Linked DNA regions of Oryctolagus cuniculus. The protein of the gene in region 1 purifies or fractionates together with the protein of each later gene. This does not show direct contact. Links are inferred from orthologs where the notes say so. Each region holds a gene or a part of one and is shown in the gene's direction. Other genes may lie near its edges.

What was found. The genes of interacting proteins can lie anywhere in the genome.
Region 2: the proteins of COPA (region 1) and ARCN1 fractionate together in Homo sapiens (co-fractionation; 4 studies listed by BioGRID and IntAct, with this or other methods). This does not show direct contact. The link is inferred for Oryctolagus cuniculus from reciprocal best matches to the Homo sapiens genes COPA and ARCN1.
Region 3: the proteins of COPA (region 1) and COPG2 fractionate together in Homo sapiens (co-fractionation; 4 studies listed by BioGRID and IntAct, with this or other methods). This does not show direct contact. The link is inferred for Oryctolagus cuniculus from reciprocal best matches to the Homo sapiens genes COPA and COPG2.

What each region holds. Positions count from the first base shown.
Region 1 is NC_091438.1:38,573,607-38,580,385, forward strand, and holds the start of COPA (coatomer subunit alpha), read left to right. Parts: upstream 1-3,156; 5' UTR 3,157-3,260; coding exon 3,261-3,300; intron 3,301-5,976; coding exon 5,977-6,090; intron 6,091-6,779. Other genes in the region: NCSTN (nicastrin), read right to left, coding at 1,650-1,754, 2,949-3,033. UniProt on the Homo sapiens protein: The coatomer is a cytosolic protein complex that binds to dilysine motifs and reversibly associates with Golgi non-clathrin-coated vesicles, which further mediate biosynthetic protein transport from the ER, via the Golgi up to the trans Golgi network.
Region 2 is NC_091432.1:111,632,340-111,638,369, reverse strand, and holds part of ARCN1 (coatomer subunit delta), read left to right. Parts: intron 1-1,066; coding exon 1,067-1,232; intron 1,233-2,052; coding exon 2,053-2,200; intron 2,201-2,857; coding exon 2,858-2,966; intron 2,967-6,030. UniProt on the Homo sapiens protein: Component of the coatomer, a cytosolic protein complex that binds to dilysine motifs and reversibly associates with Golgi non-clathrin-coated vesicles, which further mediate biosynthetic protein transport from the ER, via the Golgi up to the trans Golgi network.
Region 3 is NC_091434.1:166,631,455-166,637,484, reverse strand, and holds the end of COPG2 (coatomer subunit gamma-2), read left to right. Parts: intron 1-2,261; coding exon 2,262-2,359; intron 2,360-3,042; coding exon 3,043-3,181; intron 3,182-3,450; coding exon 3,451-3,549; intron 3,550-3,966; coding exon 3,967-4,097; 3' UTR 4,098-4,583; downstream 4,584-6,030. Other genes in the region: MEST (mesoderm-specific transcript homolog protein), read right to left, coding at 5,640-5,757. UniProt on the Homo sapiens protein: The coatomer is a cytosolic protein complex that binds to dilysine motifs and reversibly associates with Golgi non-clathrin-coated vesicles, which further mediate biosynthetic protein transport from the ER, via the Golgi up to the trans Golgi network.

The sequences.
Region 1 (6,779 bases):
CTGTTCAAAGAACATGCAGCAGGATGACTCACTTCAACAGGGCCCTGCATGGAGTCCAGCTCCAAGAGCACGGGGCCTGGCCTTTGACGCGGATAGTGAGGTTCTAGCAAGACCAGCAATCTGACAGCACGCATTGGACGTGGATGACTTGGGTCTCCACCACCCTCAAACCCAGAGTAGAAACCTGGTCAAGTGCTTCCTATAGCAGGAAGATGGGACAATTAACATATTCATAACACAAACTACTCTCTACTGTTCATGAAAGAACAAAATATGACAACAGCAAGTTAAGCAACAGAAAAACTGGGATTTGGTCTTCAGATCATAACTTTTTCCTCACTGTGATTCTGATAGTTGTTTTAGAATCACAGTGTCATGGCAATCTATTTTGGAACACATTTACAAAGCACAAGATAAACTTGAATACTTCATTTTCAATGCTTATTCTTCAAATAGTTCATTGCTTTTTTTTTTTTTTATCGAATTCCTGATACCTGCCAACCATTCCAGACATTTTCTTTTCTTTTTTTTTTTTTTTTTTTTTTTTTTTTAAAGATATACTTATTTACCTGAAAGGCAGAGAGAGATGGATCTTCCTTCCACTGGTTCACTCCCCCAAATGCCTGCAACAGCCAGGGCTAGACCAGGACAAAGCCAGGAGCCAGGAACTCCATCCTGGTCTCCCACATGGGTGGCTGGGACTCCCAGTACTTTAGCCATCACCTGCTGCCTTCTTAGGCACAGTAACAGGGAGCTGGATTGGAAGTAGAGCAGCTTGGAACCAGCACTCAAATGTGGGATGCTGGAATTGCAAGCCGCAGCATAACATGCTGTGCCACAATGCCGGCCCCTAGTTTACTATTTCTAAGAAGCCCATTTTGGGGGCCGGCACTGTGGCGCAGGTTAATCCTCTGCCTGTGGCGCTGGCATTCCATAGTGTGCCGGTTCTAGTCCCAGCTGCTCCTCTTTCCCATCCAGCTCCCTGCTATGACCAAGGAAAGCAGTGGAGGATGGCCCAAGTCCATTGGCCCCTGGACCCCCGTGGGAGACCTGGAAGAAGCTCCTGGCTTCAGATTGGTGTAGCTCCGACGATTTATGGCCATTTGAGGGGTGAACCAGTGGAGAGAGGACCTTTCTGTCTCTTACTGTCTGTAACTCTACCTCTCAAATAATTAAATAAAATCTTTAAAAAAAGGGCTGCTTAAAAAAAAAGCCCATTTTGGTCCCAGAAAGATGTCAGAGTGCAGCTGATGACTAGACTTCATGGAATATAAGACTTCTTTCTCCTTGGAAAATAGTATAGTAGGGTAGTTAAAGAGTCTTGGCTTAGAACTTGGGATGCCAGGGTTCAAATCCTGATTTTACTCCAGAATAACCTTGGAACAATTACTGAACTTCTTTAAGTCTGGGTTTCAGAATTTGCAAAATGGTGCTCAGGTTCTCATGGTGGGTTGGTTGAAGTACATATCTAAAATGTTTGGTATACAGAATTTTCTTAAAACTTACTGTTTGTTAATTATCTTGCCTGGTTTGACGGATATTTCTTTATTATTATCTTCTACTCACATCTAATTTGAGTGCTTAGACTCCTAAGCAGGGCACAGACTGAAACACCAATGGCCACAAACACAAACCCCAACTCAACTCACACTGGCAGCCAATCTGATGAGTGGCATTGAGCAGACGGACACAGGGAGCTGTTTTATTTAAGGGGATGTAGATCTTCCTCTCCACTGAGTTTCCCCCACACAAACCTGATGAGAAGACAAAGTGTTAAAAGAAATTGAGAGACACTGGTACTAGCTTCTACCATGTCATATTCTTGATGTATGTATGAAATGGGTAAATCATTCAATGTCGTACTTTGAAACACAAAACTAGCATCCACTCTCACTTCTTGGGCACCCTGTTGGAGCACATAAATGCTCTACCAAGCATCCGGCTAACTGCTTCAGAAGATTACAACATATTCCGTGTAGAGGAAGTACTGGTGAAGCTAAAAGAGAGAAAACTTGATTTGTCAAAGGACGGGTATTTACCCTGTGATGTGCCAGCTTCTGGTTGTATGTGTGGGCACCCTTCCACTTTTCTATCCTGTATGCATATTACATGGGTGCTGGTCTAAGAGTACAGATTACAATAATGAAAAAAAATGAGATTTTTTTTTTCCCAGGAGTCAGAACAGAATTAGGAGACATCTATGTCACACACCTGTCAGTTAATCTAACATCAGTAGGTCATTTGCATGTGCCCACAGTGTAGGCTGCTGTAGCTTCTCCTTTAGGGATCTTAAAACACATGTGAATGCTGGGGAAGGCACAGTCCTGATTATATACAGCCATGTTTTCATTTTAGGGCTCAACCAACAAATAAGCCATATATCGGAAAGTAAGCACATTTACCCACACTATAAAGGCTTAAAGTTCCTCGAGTCAATACTTCGGACTCTCAACAGTTAAGAGTTCCCACACCCTACCCTAGCCTCCCTTCACTAATGAAAGAAACTGAGACAGGGGTTTATGGCGTAATCAACAGAGAAGAAATGATCTACCTTTTAAGCGTGCACAGCACCCACAGAACGAGGCTGTTTTCATCTTTAGAATAAAGTCTAAACGCAGGGAAGGAAGCTAAACTTTCACACCTGCACATTTTGGTTATGAGTGGGGTGGCTGGGCTGTAGGGAATTGAGGCACCGGACAAAGCGGGCTGGAAGTCCAGGAAGAGCCTGGAGCAGGTAATGAAGCGACACGACGTGCCGCAGTGGAGAAGGGACCTACAGGTTCAGGCAAAGGGGGAACTTCTGTCGTGGGAACGAAAGAGAAAGAGGATTTACAGGGTGGGGGGACAGAGGGGCAGAAGGGACCAAAAGGGAGACGCCGGCGCTCGCGTTTGGACAGGTCCGAAGGGTTCCCCTCACACGGCGGAGCTCAAGGGCGAGGGGGCCTCACCTGCCAGTAGGACGCAGAAAGACAACAGGAAAAGAAGACCCGTACTGCCCGGGCCAGGTCCAGAGCCGCCCCTATCCGTGGCCATCTTGCTTCTCCGCTGAGCGGAAGCCTCGGTTCCCCTCCTCTCGGGTAGTGGCCTCTCTAGGCTACCGGTGGCGCCGTCTCGGTGCCCCGGAGCTCCAGAAACCGGAAGTTCGTGTCTTGAGGAGCTTCCGGGAGCTGCTGCCTAGGGTCGCTGACGTGGAGGCGTCCTAAGGGCAGCGGGGAGTGGCAGGGCTCAGGGATCGGGCGCTGGAGCTGGAGGCCTGAAGGATGCTAACCAAATTCGAGACCAAGAGCGCGCGGGTCAAAGGTAGGGAAGAAGAAAAGGGGAGACGTGGAGGCTGGGTGTCAGAGGCGGCGCTGTTATAGGGGAAGAGAGAATGGGTGGACATGCCGGCTGCGTGGGGCCCACTGGACGAACCAGGGAAGACGGAGGGAGGGAGATTCGGCCTAGCGGGCAGTTCTCCAGACCTGCCTTCCTTGTGTCTCATCGGGCATTGATTTACCTGTAAAGCGTTTCCTGCACCGCGGAGGATCCATTTGTCCAGCTCCCTGGTCTTTCCCTTACCCTTTCCGCTTCCCGGTGGCTCCGCGCCCTATTAGTTTTCTTCTGCTCCAAGGCCCTGTGACCTGTTATTCGGAATGGCTCTGGGGATGCAGGCTGTCACTGGCTCCAAGTCAGTAACTTTTTCGGAGGGGAGTACTGGCCCCCTGACTTATGGAGGCTTTGCTTGCACCATCTTAACATCCAATGCCTGTATTGGGCTTTATTTCCTACCTGGAAATAGGGATTTGAGGTCTGTAGCCCCGGGAAAACCTGAGCTTGGTAAGGTTGCCAGATGAAATACAGGATGCCCAGTTACATTTGAATGTCACAGAGCAAATAATTTTTTAGTATTGTGGTTTATCTGAAATTCAAATGTAACTGAGCTTCTTGCATTTTTGTTAATTTGGCAACTCTAGAGCTTGAGTTGTGCTCACGGTGGTGGAAGACACCCCCATGATGATGTTGCACTAGCAGTCTCTCAGAGTGTTAAACTGGGAAAGGCAGGGACGGGAGGTCTACCGAGACCTGGAGAAAATGTGTCTGGAATAGATAGATGCAGCATAGCAAAGTAGTTAGGAACTTGGTGTTTGAAGTCAATTGGGCTTGCTTTGGAATCCTGAGACACTCAGCAAAAAGCTGTATGACCGTGGGTGACTTACTTAATGTCTTCAAATTTATTTCCTCATTTGTGAAATGTGAGTAATTAATGCTCGTTGTCAGTGTGAGACTGTATTCTGAGCAGGTTCTAAGTTTTATGGGAATGGTGAATTTCTGGGACGTGGGTGATTGGAATGGATTGTCACAATCCTTAAGTTTTCTCCTCTCCTAATTTCTTTTTGGGCAGTAGATGAGGGGGAAAAGGTGCCAGAATATTTGAAGGTTACTGTCCACTGAGTGTCACTACAATTGTTAAGGGGAGGAAACAAGCAACTTAAGGGGAAAATAGACAATTTAGAAGAATAAGTGTTCCACAAATAATGAAAATTGTTCTACCTCCACATAATGAAAGAAATGCAAAAAAAAGTATCTTTTTTGGTTTTGCATTAGTAAAACAAAAAACCAGCATAACATCTTGTGTTAACCAATGTGTACAAAATATGGATACCTTCCTAAACTTGATGAGACTGTATATTGGTAGTTTTTTCCAGTTAAACGATATCTACCAGAATGTTAGATGCATGTACTCTACTCCTGAGCCATCCCACTTTAATGTCTTCAGCCTAACTCAATAATACAGTAAATAGACAAGATTATGTGTAGAAGTATCTTCAATAAGTGCTTCTAATAGCCAGGAATTGGGGGAAAGAATTTAAAAGCCTATTACTAGGCTTACTTAAAACTGTGAGGCCCTTATTCCTTGCAGCTATAAAAAGAATGAGGTTATGTTTATATGTAGCTAAATGTGGTGATATCCATACCATAAGTAAGAAAAGAAGTTTGCAGAACATTATAATGTGACACTCATTCTCATAATATAATAAGGCTTGTGCTTATACAGAACTTTATTAAAGTGCAGAACAATATCCTCCAACCCATTAACAGTTGTTACCTCTGGGGACTTCTATTTCTAGTCATGATAAGAACCATGTTTTACCTTAAGTAACGACAAAACTGAACAAAATGTAGAAAGTGAAAAATTTCAGATGTTGGACATTAAGCAGTGCAGGAAAATGATTCTTGAGAGAAGGGAAGTAAACAAGGTGAGTCCTATAACTGTTTTAGTTTAGTGCTTAGACAGAGTTCCCAGGCTGCAGTGAAGGTAGGAGGAAGACTTCTGTGAGAAGTCTTCTTCCTGAGAAGACAGAGTGTAGAGTTCCTGGAAACAAGCATGGTTGGACTTTGCTGGGCAGAATACCAGAGAAGAGGAGGCGGCCCTGGAGCTCTGCAGGAGCTCCCCTCTGGCCTCTGAGTGCTGACCTGTACATGTATGTTAGAAAATTATCCAAAACTTAAGAAAAAAAAAAAAAACAATTGGTAGGGAGTAAGGCAGAATAATCCATGGCGCTCATGCAGGACTGGAAATAGTTTGTGTTCCTACTAACTGGGATAGAAAGATTAGCTGATGTTTCAGTGTAACATACAGAGCCCAAAGGATTAGTATTATCTTTGGAATGATTTCAAATTAGTCCCAGTCTAAAGGCTGTTGTGGACCCCTGTAACAAAACTTAAAAAAATGAGCCTCAAAAAGATCATCTGATTCCAGGTAACTTAACTGCATCGTAGAATAAAACTCAACAGTATTTGAAGGAATATTAACAAAAACCCAACATCTAACATTATAATTTTCACAGTGTTTAACATCTAATAAAAAGCACTGGCATATTAAATGAATGTATGGACCTGTGATTAGCTTAGCATTTCCTTTTTCTTATCAGAATTGACAGAAGGTGACATCATAGGGGTTATTAGCTTATTTTATTGTTTTCTGTTTTATTCCAGGGCTCAGTTTTCACCCCAAAAGACCCTGGATCCTGACAAGTTTACACAATGGGGTCATCCAATTATGGGACTACCGAATGTGCACCCTCATTGACAAGTTTGATGAACATGATGGTAAGATAATTTCTTTCTTTCTCTCTCCCTTCCTTCCTTCCTTCCTTCTTCCCTCCCTCCCTCCCTCTCTCTCTTCCTTCCTTCCTTCCTTTTTTTGGATTTATAGATTTATTTGAAAGGTGGAGTTACAGAGAGGGAGGGAGAGACAGAGAGAGAAAGAAATTTTCTATCCATTGGCTAACTCCCCAAATGGCCACAACAGCACATTAGCAGGGAACTAAATTGGAAGTGGAGCAGCAGGGACATGAATCATCACCCATATAGGATGCCGGCATCATAGGCAGCAGCTTAGCCCACTGTGCCACAACACCAGCCCTGATAATAAGATAGGAGAGAGTTAAGAGATACAAGAGAGTGGGCATTTGGTGCAGGGGCTGGTGCCGCAGCTCAATAGGCTAATCCTCCGCCTACGGCGCTGGCACCCCGGGTTCTAGTCCTGGTCAGGGCACCAGATTCTGTCCCGGTTGCTCCTCTTCCAGTCCAGCTCTCTGCTGTGGCCCAGGAGTACAGTGGAGGATGGCCCAAGTCCTTGGGCCCTGCACCCACATGGGAAACCAGGAGAAGCACCTGGCTCCTGGCTTCGGATCAGCGCGGTGCGCCGGCCGCAGCGACCATAGAGGGGTGAACCAATGGAAAAGGAAGACCTTTCTCTCTGTCTCTCTCTCTCTCTCACTGTCCACTCTGCCTGT
Region 2 (6,030 bases), on another chromosome or scaffold:
TGCCTGAGTTCAAGTCTTTGCTGAACTCTGAACTCTAGCTTCCTTTTGATGGGCACCTCAGGAGGCAACAGGTGATGGGATCCCTGTCACCCCTATAGAAGGCCTGGATTGAGTTCCTTGCTCCCAGATTTTACCTGGCCCAGCCCTGGCTGATGTGAATATTAGAGACTGAACCAGCAAATGAGAACTCTTTTTATGTCTCTCTTTCTTTGTCTCCCTGCCTGTCAAACAAAAAGAAGATAAATATTGAGACCTTACCCCTCCACATGCCCCTGAAATTCATAACCAAAAAAATGTTTTAAAATTCTGATACATGTGTGGTGCAGCAGTTGGGTTGCCATTTGGGATTCCTGCATCTCATGTTACAGTGCTTGGTTTGAGTCCCAGCTAACCCACTTTCCATCCAGCTTTCTGCTGTTACACGCCCTGGGAGGCAGTAAATGACGACTCAAGTGGTTGAGTCCCTGCCATCCATGTTGGAGACCCGGATGGAGTTGTAGCTCTTTGCTTTGGCCTGGCCCAGCCCTTGCTATTGCAGGCATTTGGTGAATGAACCAGCAAATGGAAGATCACTCTCCATCTGTCTCTGCCTTCCAAATTAAAAAAAAAATTTTTTGAGCCGGCGCTGTGGCTCAATAGGCTAATCCTCCACCTTGCGGCGCCGGCACACCGGGTTCTAGTCCCGGTTGGGGCGCCGGATTCTGTCCCGGTTGCCCCTCTTCCAGGCCAGCTCTCTGCTATGGCCAGGGAGTGCAGTGGAGGATGGCCCAGGTGCTTGGGCCCTGCACCCCATGGGAGACCAGGAAAAGCACCTGGATCCTGGCTCCTGCCATCGGATCAGCGCGGTGCGCCGGCTGCAGCGGCGGCCATTGGAGGGTGAACCAACGGCAAAAGGAAGACCTTTCTCTCTCTGTCTCTCTCTCACTGTCCACTCTGCCTGTCAAAAATAAAAAAAATAAAAAAATAAAAAATTTTTTTTGATGGCTATTGACTGTTAATCCTTGAAAAAAGGGAGTTTGTTGTGACTTCTACCTTTCTGAACAAATTTATCACTTTGTCTTTATAGTGTACATATGAAGATTGAAGAAAAGATCACACTAACCTGTGGACGAGATGGAGGATTACAGAATATGGAGTTGCATGGAATGATCATGCTTAGGATCTCAGATGACAAATTTGGCCGAATTCGTCTTCATGTAGAAAACGAAGATAAGAGAGGGGTACAACTGCAGGTGTGTGGAGTCTTCTGGTTGAGAGTATTAAGACTTAGCTAATGAAAGACCTAGCACAGTCTCAACTAGCATTCCTTATATTTACCAAATAAATATAAAATTATTTGTGTGATGTAACTAGTGCCATTCTGCCACCCACTTAGGAGACTCAGATGAAGCCTGGCCCAACCCTGGCCATCTCAGCCTCTGGGGGAGTGAATTAGTGGATAGACGATCTCTCTGCCTTGTCCCCGTCCTCTCCCTCTCCCTCTTCCTCTCTCAGCCCTTCTCTCTCTCACCCTGCCTTTCAAATAAATTAATAAATTTAAGATTAAAAGTTGGAATAGGTGCTGTGGTGCAGCAAATTAAACCATCACTTGGGATGTCTGTATCCCATTTCAGTGTGCCTGATTCTTCTTCTTCTTTTTTTTTTTAAAGATTTATTTATTTATTTGAAAGAGTTACACAGAGAGAAGAGAGGAAGAAAGAGAGAGGTCCTCCATCCACTGGTCCACTCCACTCCCCAAATGGCCGCAATATCCAGAGCTGTGCTGATCCGAAGCCAGGAGCCAGATGCCTCCTCTCGGTCTCCCATGAGGGTATAGGGGTCCAAAAACCTGGGCCATCCTCTGCTGCTTTCCCAGGCCATAGCAGAGAGCTGGATTGGAAGCGGAGCAGCCAGGTCTCCAACCAGTGCCCATATGGGATGCCGGTGCTTCAGGCCAGGGCCTTAACCTGCTGCGCCACAGCGCTGGTCCCCCCAACCAGCATTTTAACTGCTGTCCCCAGAGTTTGTTTCCTGTCTACTGTGTCTGAACCTCAGTTTGCCTTGTCATTCCAGACCCATCCAAATGTGGATAAAAAACTTTTCACTGCAGAGTCTCTGATTGGCTTGAAGAATCCAGAGAAGTCATTTCCAGTCAACAGTGATGTAGGGGTGCTAAAGTGGAGACTACAAACCACAGAAGAATCTTTTATTCCACTGACAAGTAAGTGCCTCTGGCCTGTTTGACTAAGCTACTCTGCATTGAGATCTAAAAAAAGCTCTGGCTTATACCCTCTTATCTTCATTGCCATAGTGAAGTTCTTTTTGACAAAATGATCTTTTATCAAAATCAAAAGAATTGGGATCTCATTAGGTAGGGGCAGGCATTGTGGCATAGCAGGTAAAGCCGCCATCCGTGTCACCAGCATCCCGTATGGTTCATATCCCAGCTGCTCTACTTCCATCAACCCAACTCCCTGCTAATGGCCTGGGATATGACCTAAGGGTTTGGGCCCCTGCCACCCATGTGGGAGAGCTCCTGGCTTCAGCCTGGCTCAGTGCTGGCCATTGCAGCCATCAGGGAAGTGAACCAGAGATTGGAAGATATCTCTCCCTCTCTCTGTAATTCTGACTTTGAAAATAAATGATGAAATTCAGTACCCTATTTTAAGTTTAGATTGTGGGCCATGGAAGCCTTGAAGGATTTTGAAAATGGATTTGGTGTTTAATCATAGTCTCTAATTTTTAATTTTAAAACTTGTTTTAAATATAATTTACATTAAAATTTTTTAGATGTGAGCCTGTCGATAAGATTTCATTTGCTTTCTTTTCTATACTCTTTGTAATAATTATGGAATGATGGCTTTGCTTTTCTCCTCAGTTAATTGCTGGCCTTCAGAAAGTGGAAGTGGCTGTGATGTCAATATAGAATATGAACTACAAGAAGATAATTTAGAACTGAATGACGTGGTTATCACCATCCCACTTCCGTAAGTGGTGTCTTCAGTGTAGTTGTGTTCCCTACAGTGGGCTTACAGAACTGGTTTTGAAACTCCTTTTGCCTCTTAAAAATGCCAATTGTGAAAGAAGGCAGACGCAAAAGGCTACCCACTATGTGATTCTCTCCCTATGACTAACAGAAGTCAGGTGGTAGAGAGGAAGGTCCTTGATTGCCACAGGACGCAGGGATGATGGAAATGTTTTATGACTTGATTTTGATAATGTCTGCAAGACTGCACACCCTAGTCACAATGCACTGGGCTGTACACTTTGGAAAGGCCAAGTTTTTATTGACTTTCAAGCCAAACCAAAAAGCCTATTGTAAGTTCTGCATCTCTGTTTTCAGATTTTGCTCCTCAGCATGTTTGTGTAGTAATGAAGATGTCCAGAAGGAGGAGCCACTTGTCAGTCAAACGTGCTCTATTTTGTTGAGCAACTTTCAGAGAAATGAAGTCTGTTAGATTGAATTTCCCTTTTTAGTTATTCTGTAAACTTTCACTAAAGATGAGTGTATGTGGTTAAGGGAACTGTTGATTCTTATGGGAACAAGATATTTACATTTGTTTCAGTAAATTTCCTAACAGCTTTATTGAAGTATAATTGACATACAGTAAATGACACAAATTGTATCTTGGTAAGTATTGACATACATAGATCTGTAAAACCATCAGTACAATCATGCTAACAAAAATGTCTATCATCCTAAAAAATGTAGTGCCCGTAAGTTCTGTTGTACACGTAACTGGCCTGCTGTCTAGGATCACAGGGAATCTCCCTGTCTTGGGTTTATCTGCTCAGTACTGTTTCCAGTAAGTGTACACTGTTCATCAGTGAGTTCCCAGCTCCACTCATTATCTCCCAGCCCCCACAAGATTGAGCAGTTGTGGGTACCTGCAAGTGTACTCTTAGTGCACCTTTACTATCACATTGCTCTGCAGAAAAAAATTATGTTGCAGGACCAAAAAGGGTAATAATTTAATTTGTAGTTTGGTTCCCTTGAAATTTTTTTGGTGAAAGGCAGAGTGGACAGTGAGAGAGAGAGACAGAGAGAAAGGTCTTCCTTTGCCATTGGTTCACCCTCCAGTGGCCGCTGTGGACGGTGCACTGCAGACAGCGCACAGCGCTGATCCAAAGCCAGGAGCCAGGTGCTTCTCCTGGTCTCCCATGCAAGTGCAGGGCCCAAGGACTTGGGCCATCCTCCACTCCACTCCCGGGCCACAGCAGAGAGCTGGCCTGGAAGAGGGGCAACCGGGACAGAATCTGGCGCCCCAACCAGGACTAGAACCCGGTGTGCCAGTGCCGCAGGCGGAGGATTAGCCTATTGAGCCATGGCACAGGCCGGTTCCCTTAAAATTTAAGAAGTTTTTTTTTAAGATTTAATTATTTGGTGCCGGTGCTGTGGCATAGTAGGCTAAGCCTTTACCTATGGCACCGACATCCCATATGGGCATCAGTTTGAGTCCAGATGCTCCTTTTCCGAATCAGCTCTCTACTATTGCCTGGGGAAGCAGTATACGATAGCCCAGGTGTGTGGGCCCCTGAACCCGTGTGGGAGACCTGGAAGAAGCACCTGGCTTCTGGCTTTGGGTCACCTCAGCTTTGGCTGTTGGTGGCCATTTAGGGAGTAAACCAGTGGATGGAAAACCATTCTCTCTGTCTCTTCCTCTCTCTCTATGTAACTCTGCCTAGCAAATAAATAAATAAAGGGTCAGCACCGTGGCATAGTGGGTAAAGCCACTGCCTGCACTGCCAGCATCCCGTATGGGCATGGGTTCGAGACCCAGCTGCTCCACTTCTGATCCAGCTCTCTGCTATGGCCTGGGAAAGCAGTGGAGGATGGCCCAAGTGCTTGGGCCCCTGTACCTGCATGGGAGACCCGGAAGAAGCTGGCTCCAACCATTGCAGCCATTTGGGGAGTAAACCAGTGGATGGAAGACTTCTCTATCTCTCTGCCTCTGCCTCTTTTTAACTCTACCTTTCAAATGAATAAGTCTTTAAAAATAAATAAATACATAAAATATTTTTTTAAAACGGGATTTGATTATTTGAGGGCATGCACTGTGGCGCAGGGGGTTAAGATGCCATCTGCAGTGCCAGCATCCTGTACAGGCACCAGTTTGAATCCCAGCTGCTCCAGTTCCAATCTAGCTCCCTGCTAGTGGCCTGGGAGAGCAGTGTAGGATGGCCCGTGTCCTTGGCCCCGCCCACGTGACAGATCCAGAAGAAGCTTCTGGTTCCTGGTTTTGGCCTGGCTGAGCCTCAACCATTGTGGTCATTTGGGAAGTGAACTAGCAGATAGAGAATATCTCTCTATGTCCCTCCCTCTCTATAAAAATTAAAAAATGAAAGATTTCATTATTTGAAAAGCAGAGTGACAGAGAGGAAAAAACAGAGAAAGAGATTTCCATCCACTGGTTCACTCCCAGATGGCCACAAAGGAAGCCAGGAACCTGGAACTCTTCCAGATCTCCCTTGTGAGCTGGCAGAAGGCCAGGTACCTGGGTCATCTTCCACTATCTTCCCAGGTGCATTAGCATGGTATTGGATTGGAAGCAGAGTAGCCAGGACTCAAACTGGCACTGTGATAAAGGACGCTGGTATTGTAAGCAGTGACTTACCCCACCATGCCACAACGCTGGACCCTTAAATTACTTTCAAAAATAATTACTCTGAAAGCAGAGTGACTGAGAAAGAGTGAGAGACAGACCTTCCATCTATAGGTTCACTCCCCAAATGCCCGCAATAGCCACAGCTGGGCCAGGCCCAAGCCAGGAACCAACAACTCCATCCGGGTCTCCCACATGAATGGCAGGGGCCCAAGTACTTGCGCCATCTTCTGCTGTCTCCCAGGGGTAATAGAAGGAGACTGGATTGAAGCAGAGTATCTGAGACTGGATCCCAAGAACTTCATGAGATGTGTGTATCCCAAGCAGTGGCTTGACCTGCTGTACAAGATGTCTGCCCCTTTCTTCCCTTTTTAATAATTCAAGGCTTTATGTTGTCAGATCTGGTTTTAGTCACTGTTACTTCTGTTTTTAAAAATGTGCTTTATTA
Region 3 (6,030 bases), on another chromosome or scaffold:
TCCTTATCCCCTGTGATGATCTGTGACCTGGCCTTGATCATGAAGCTGACATCGTTAGATCGTGACACTGGATGCAGGGGTGTCCTCTTGCCCTGGGAAGGCCCCTCTGACCTTCTCTCCTCAGCAGCTGGCAGGGTTGTCCCCGCCACCAGTGCTTCTACCCGAGTTCACTTTAGATTCCATACAACCTCTCATTGTACCAGCCAAACCAGTTAACTAAAAACCAGCCACAAAGCTGTCAGAAACAGTATCCCCACTAACACCATTCTACCTAATCCTCATCCATTTCTCTGTATCATGTACATAATGTTGGTGTCTTCGGTCTTACTTAGTCTTTGATCTACCATTCATCCTGATTTTCTCCCATTTCTCTTGCCACTCCTTAACCTGAACCATGCTGGTCACAGAGCTTATTTCTCAGTGTCTGTCCCGATTCGTCACCCTTACGTGACCATGACCTTCCTCCCTGCCATGTCTCTTTCACCTTTTTAACACTTCAGTGACCTGGTCTAATTTTGTATTAAATTCCACTTATCTTTTTCCCTTTTCCGCTAAAGAAAATCCTACCTTAATTTAAACATTGTTTCTTCTGCCCCCTTACCACACAGAAATAATTCTACAGTCTTGATACACTCTTCCTCTTTGGGTTAACCTACTACTCTCATCTGTTTTCAACATGGTCTTCTGAATTCTCACCCGTTCTGCAGTCTTCCCACCAGAGTGTGAATTGGGCAGTATCTTCCTTAGCTCACCTCTGTCTCTTCACTGCTTCAGCTCACCAGACCCCCTTGGAAAATCATTGGAATCAGAGTACTTTGCAGTTTGTTCTCAGCAGCACTTTTGCCTTAACATCCTCGTGGTATTTCCAACCACTCGTGCACTTCCTAGCCACTTCTCTTTTCTACTCCTGTACCTTCCTCTGCTTGCCAAAGATCTGCTGCATTTTTTAAGATCCAATTAAACTGTTGTATCCTTTCACAACTTTTTAATAGTTTTCCCAGGCTCTTCATCCTGCAGCTGTACACAGCACTATACTAAAACTTACATCCTAGAATCTGTGGCATTAAATTGTAATGTCAAATAGATATATGGGCAGCCTGTGTGAGTGCACACTCCCCCCCCCCCACCCCCATACACACAAACCCTACTCTTCAACTCCTTGACAGTCGGGTCTGAGGTAGATAGAAAGATGACTGAAGTGTCTGACACATTACTTTCCACCTTTACATAGTGTCAGCGTGTGCTGACACTGCAGTTGGATGGGTGGGTGGGTGGAGTTTAAAGTTAAAATTCCACGGTTTAAAGTCCGACTGTCCAACCTGACATATACAAAAGGGTCTTCAGAAAGTCCAAGGAAAAGTGAAATTAAGATACATTTAGTTTTGTGAAGACAGTCTGAAATCCAGATTGTTCATAACATACATTTCCCACGTGCTTCTTGGAGACCCCTTGTTATCATACGCTGTCTCCATGGTTCTAGTCTCCTCTCCTTGCCTGTCCCCAGATAACTTTCCAGCTTCCCAAGTTCGCATTTTTGTGTAAGTTCTTTAGACCATGGATGGAGGGATTAGATCCTAAATGCCTTTTCTTCATCCATGCTTGCAAAATGCACTCCTTCAAGCAGCTCAGAAAATCCTATTTTCAAGACTTCGCTTTCCAAAAATGTAACCCCCACTGTTTCCTGTCACCTCTGCCAGTCATCTCAGAACATACGGGTACCTACTGGCTTTTCTGCCTTCAGACACTGGCTTTACCAACACTCGGACTTCATTATTAACTTATTCATTGTACATTAAAAGTTGACTTAAAGCCAAGTCCATTCTGGCGATCTGTGGCCCCACTGTCAGTCCACAGTCCAAAGATAGCATTACTGTTGACATTGATGTACTTGGCCAGTGGTAATTTGACAATCTGTAGGCTCTCTACCTGGTGGTTTTTTACTGTACTTATTTTTCAACATATAGACCCTTTGACAGGCAGGCAAAAAGCCCCTGGATGTTTAACCCTGCTTTCTTCATACAAATACAAAATCGAGTTTGGCCATGACAGCTTTTCTGTACTATTCTAACCCACAATGCAGAACAGACTTTAAAATCATACCTGTTGGGACCACTTTTCTGCCCCATTAGCAGACTGTCTTTGAGCGATCTTGCCCTAGAAAACAGGTCACGCACATGTTTAACTTGAAAACGTGGAACACGGCGCGGGGTGCAGATCTGCTTCCGCAGAACTGACATAGGCTTGCCTACGCTCTCTCTCAGTTGCAGGCACCTTTAGCTGTACCATGAGGTTCACCGTCCGGGACTGTGACCCTAACACTGGGGTTCCAGATGAGGATGGGTATGACGATGAGTATGTGGTGAGTCTCCCCTGCAGACACGGTCTGACCTTTGCAGCATCAGGCACTGCTGCTCCGACAGCATTTGACTAGGGACGTCTGACGTGAGGTTTCTGGTCCCGCACAGATTACAGTTAAGGAGGACCTCACTGAATCCCGTGACGGATGCCAAGGAGAATGGAGATTGACCACTGGATAACTAAAACGCTCCTTTTCCTTTATGATGGGATAATTAAGAGATGAAAATAATTACATGATGTTCATGCAATTATAATATACGAAACAGGCTTTATTCAGAATGGTTTTTGATTTTGTTGCTATTCCAGCAAACAAGCTAAGTAGCCAGATCGTGACCTGAGAACCCTCCACAGAATGGAGGCAGCAGCTGCCCGAGAAGTGCCACCCTGTGCTGGGTGCAGAGTTCAAGAGGTGCAGGGCGGTCACGTGGGGCAGCCTCACTGCCTCGTACCTCAGGCCTGCAGATGTTGATCTGAATTTGGCTCGTGTCAGATGTCCTGTTTTCTTGCTTTCCTTTGCTAAGGCCTGTGGCAGTGCATTTATCCAGACTACGCAAAGTATTGTGGGCATGGAATTTTTCATAGGTTTCTGCAGGGATGTTAGCACAGAACGATGAGGGATTAGTCCCTTCCACTTCTGTTTGTGCGGAAAGCACTTTTGTTTGACCCCTGCTGCTTGCCCGCCAGCTGGAAGATCTGGAAGTGACTGTGTCTGACCACATTCAGAAGGTACTGAAGCCTAACTTCGCTGCTGCCTGGGAAGAAGTGGGAGATACCTTTGAGAAAGAGGAGACCTTTGCCCTCAGTTCTACCAAAACCCTTGAAGGTGAGAAGGGTTTTGCTAACGAGGGGTTACATAATAGCAGTGTTAAAACCTACAAGGCTATCTGTTAAAGAAAACAAGAACTCTCATGTCTCTAAGGGCTTGATAAATCATTTACTTAGAAGGTCCTCATCGTCCGAGTCCAGCCATCTTACCGTCCTGTAGCCTCTCTCCACAAATCACAACCCCGCCCCCTGAGCTCCCAGCATACACTGGTGCAGAGGTGGGCCCCCACCTTGTCTAATGCTGCTGCATGAATCTTCTCCACACAGAAGCCGTCAACAACATCATCACCTTTCTGGGCATGCAGCCGTGTGAGAGGTCAGATAAAGTCCCAGAGAACAAGAATTCCCACTCGCTCTATCTGGCAGGTAAGAGTTCCACTGGACTTCCCATCTGTTTTTGTTGGAAAATTCAGCAGAACAGGTTGTAGGTAGGGCTCCCACGTCCTGCCGTCATCCTTTCATCCCATTAACGAGTAGCAATTTGAAGCTCAGTCAAAATGAACACTTGGCTTGCATGCTATTCTTATTTTTTTAGGTTGTACATTTGGCCTGTCCTACAGATACTAATCTCACCCCACCCCACTGTTGTTGAGTACCTTCTATGAATCTGGTCTCATGGGAATATAAAAAATAAATTTTAAATTTATATGTAGGATTCAGTTCCCACAAATCACTAGAAAAGCTCAACTAAAATAATAGAAAGGAGATCCAAGCAGGGCATAATCAGTCGCGTCATTCAGAGCTTGTTTTGCAATAATATGGTTTTCAATTTTTTTCTTTCAGGTATATACAGAGGTGGCTATGATTTATTGGTGAGGTCCAGGCTCGCCTTAGCAGATGGAGTAACCATGCAGGTGACTGTCAGAAGCCAAGAAAGAACACCTGTAGATGTTATCTTGGCTTCTGTTGGATGAGATCTTCCTGGGCAAGAAGTTAATGGACACTTCGCTGTAGGTGGGTTTTAGGCTACTGGCATGAAGTTCCCAGAATCACCCCTTCAAAGGGTAATGACTTTGGAGAAGCAAATTAAACATTCAGCCCCGAGCCAGCAGATCAAGCAAAATCTGTCCTTATGCATGGATTCTGTTTATTTCCTTTTTCTTTTTCTTCACTTGATATGACAGCTTTGGTATGACAGTGCAGCATTGGGTGAGCTTGAAAATCAAATACTATTCTGTCCTTTGGCTGCTTAACTTCATTATATTATTTTCTTTTAACGTGTGTCTGAAAGCTCCTGGCAATGTTGGAAAATTTTATCCCCGAGGGGTGGCGAGAGGGGGGGAGGGGAAGCCAGAGTCCACTTTTGTCACAATTCATTTTTATTAATAGAAAATAAACACTTATTCCAGTTTCAAAGTTGTTATACTTGAAGTTGCTAATAAAAAATGAATTTAAAATAATCACTTAATAATCCTGCTTTGACTTAGACAATGAAAGTGTGGCTTTAAAAAAAAAAATAGTATTCAGCACCATTTGCTCATAGGTCTGTCAGAATTTGTTCTAAAGTTCCTGGAACTCTCGTGCATTGCTGAGAGCGCCCAGCGTTGCTGAGCTGTGAGAAAGCCACCGGGACGTTAAGCAGTCATCACGAGACTCAGTGCACGCTCCACAGGGTCACTTGGACTGTACACCAGCCCCTCCCCTCCGCTTTGGCTCAGGAGGGCCATGCTTCCAAGCACTGAGCTCTGAGGAGGCAGACTGTTGTGTGCTGTTAGAGTGGTCTTCCCAGCTAATAACAGCACATCTCTGCCACAGATGGACTTGGTCCTTAATGTCCTACGATTTTCAGAAATTCTGTAAATCGTTTGGGTATTCAAAAACTGAGCATGTTTCAGAAGGCTCGTTACTCTGGCAGAGTGAGGGTCTGCTGGTTAGCTGGATCAGGGACAGGTCAGTCAGTCCTGAAGCACACTGCGAATCCTGTGTTATGTAAACCAATACCTACGTCAACTAAGTGTCTATAAGTAGAAGTAGCTGATGAAACTAAGTCTAACGTTACAACAAGGGGGACAGAAAACTATGAAAAAGCACGTGTCCTTAAAGGCATCCCAGAAGACGTACGCAGGCCCCTCCCCATCCTTTGCTAGAGGATTCAAAGAGACTGGGCGAGAGGAGGGCACTTCTGGGTATTTCAGCAAATTCCCACAAGTGTCTCCTGTGCAGAAGGTTGTGTGCCCTGTGCACCACTGGTAGTGCCCGTCAGAATTTCCTAAGAACGCACAGACAGCGGCAGTCAGACATGGTCAGATGCCATCAGAGGGATGGGAGGAGGACAGTGCTACGTCAACTCAGCGCCTCTGCTGGCCTCTTCCCGTACACTGCCCACCAGTGTGAGGGGAGTGACTTCTGTGAGGGGACAGTGGGTGGCCAGGACCTCTTTTGGGCATCTCCTCCTAAGTGGAACACACACAGATAGGACTCGGGGGAGGTCAGACAGGGAGGCTACGCTTTCCAGCTCAGAAGGAGTTGATGAAGCCCATGTATGCATTCAAGAAGCCCATGGGGTCCTCTAGCTGTGGGTAGTGGCTAATGTGGTCATCCAGAATCGACACTGTGGACCTCGGCAGCGTTTTCCTAGTGGAAGAGAACAGCAGGTAGGTGAACGGAAGGCTGGGGGGTGGGGGGGAGCCAGTGGGAAGCCCCAGTAGAAACGCCCTTGCAGACACACCGCACTGCAAAGAACCAACAGCACGTTGAAAATACAACACTTCCGCGACAATGGCCAAAGCAGGATGACATCCCGCGCCTCAGAAAAGCGGGACGCATCAGACAAGCAGATCCCCTCAGCAAGTCAGTGCCCAAGCCAAGAAAGCAAAGGACCTTCCTATTAATTCCAGGAGATGAGAA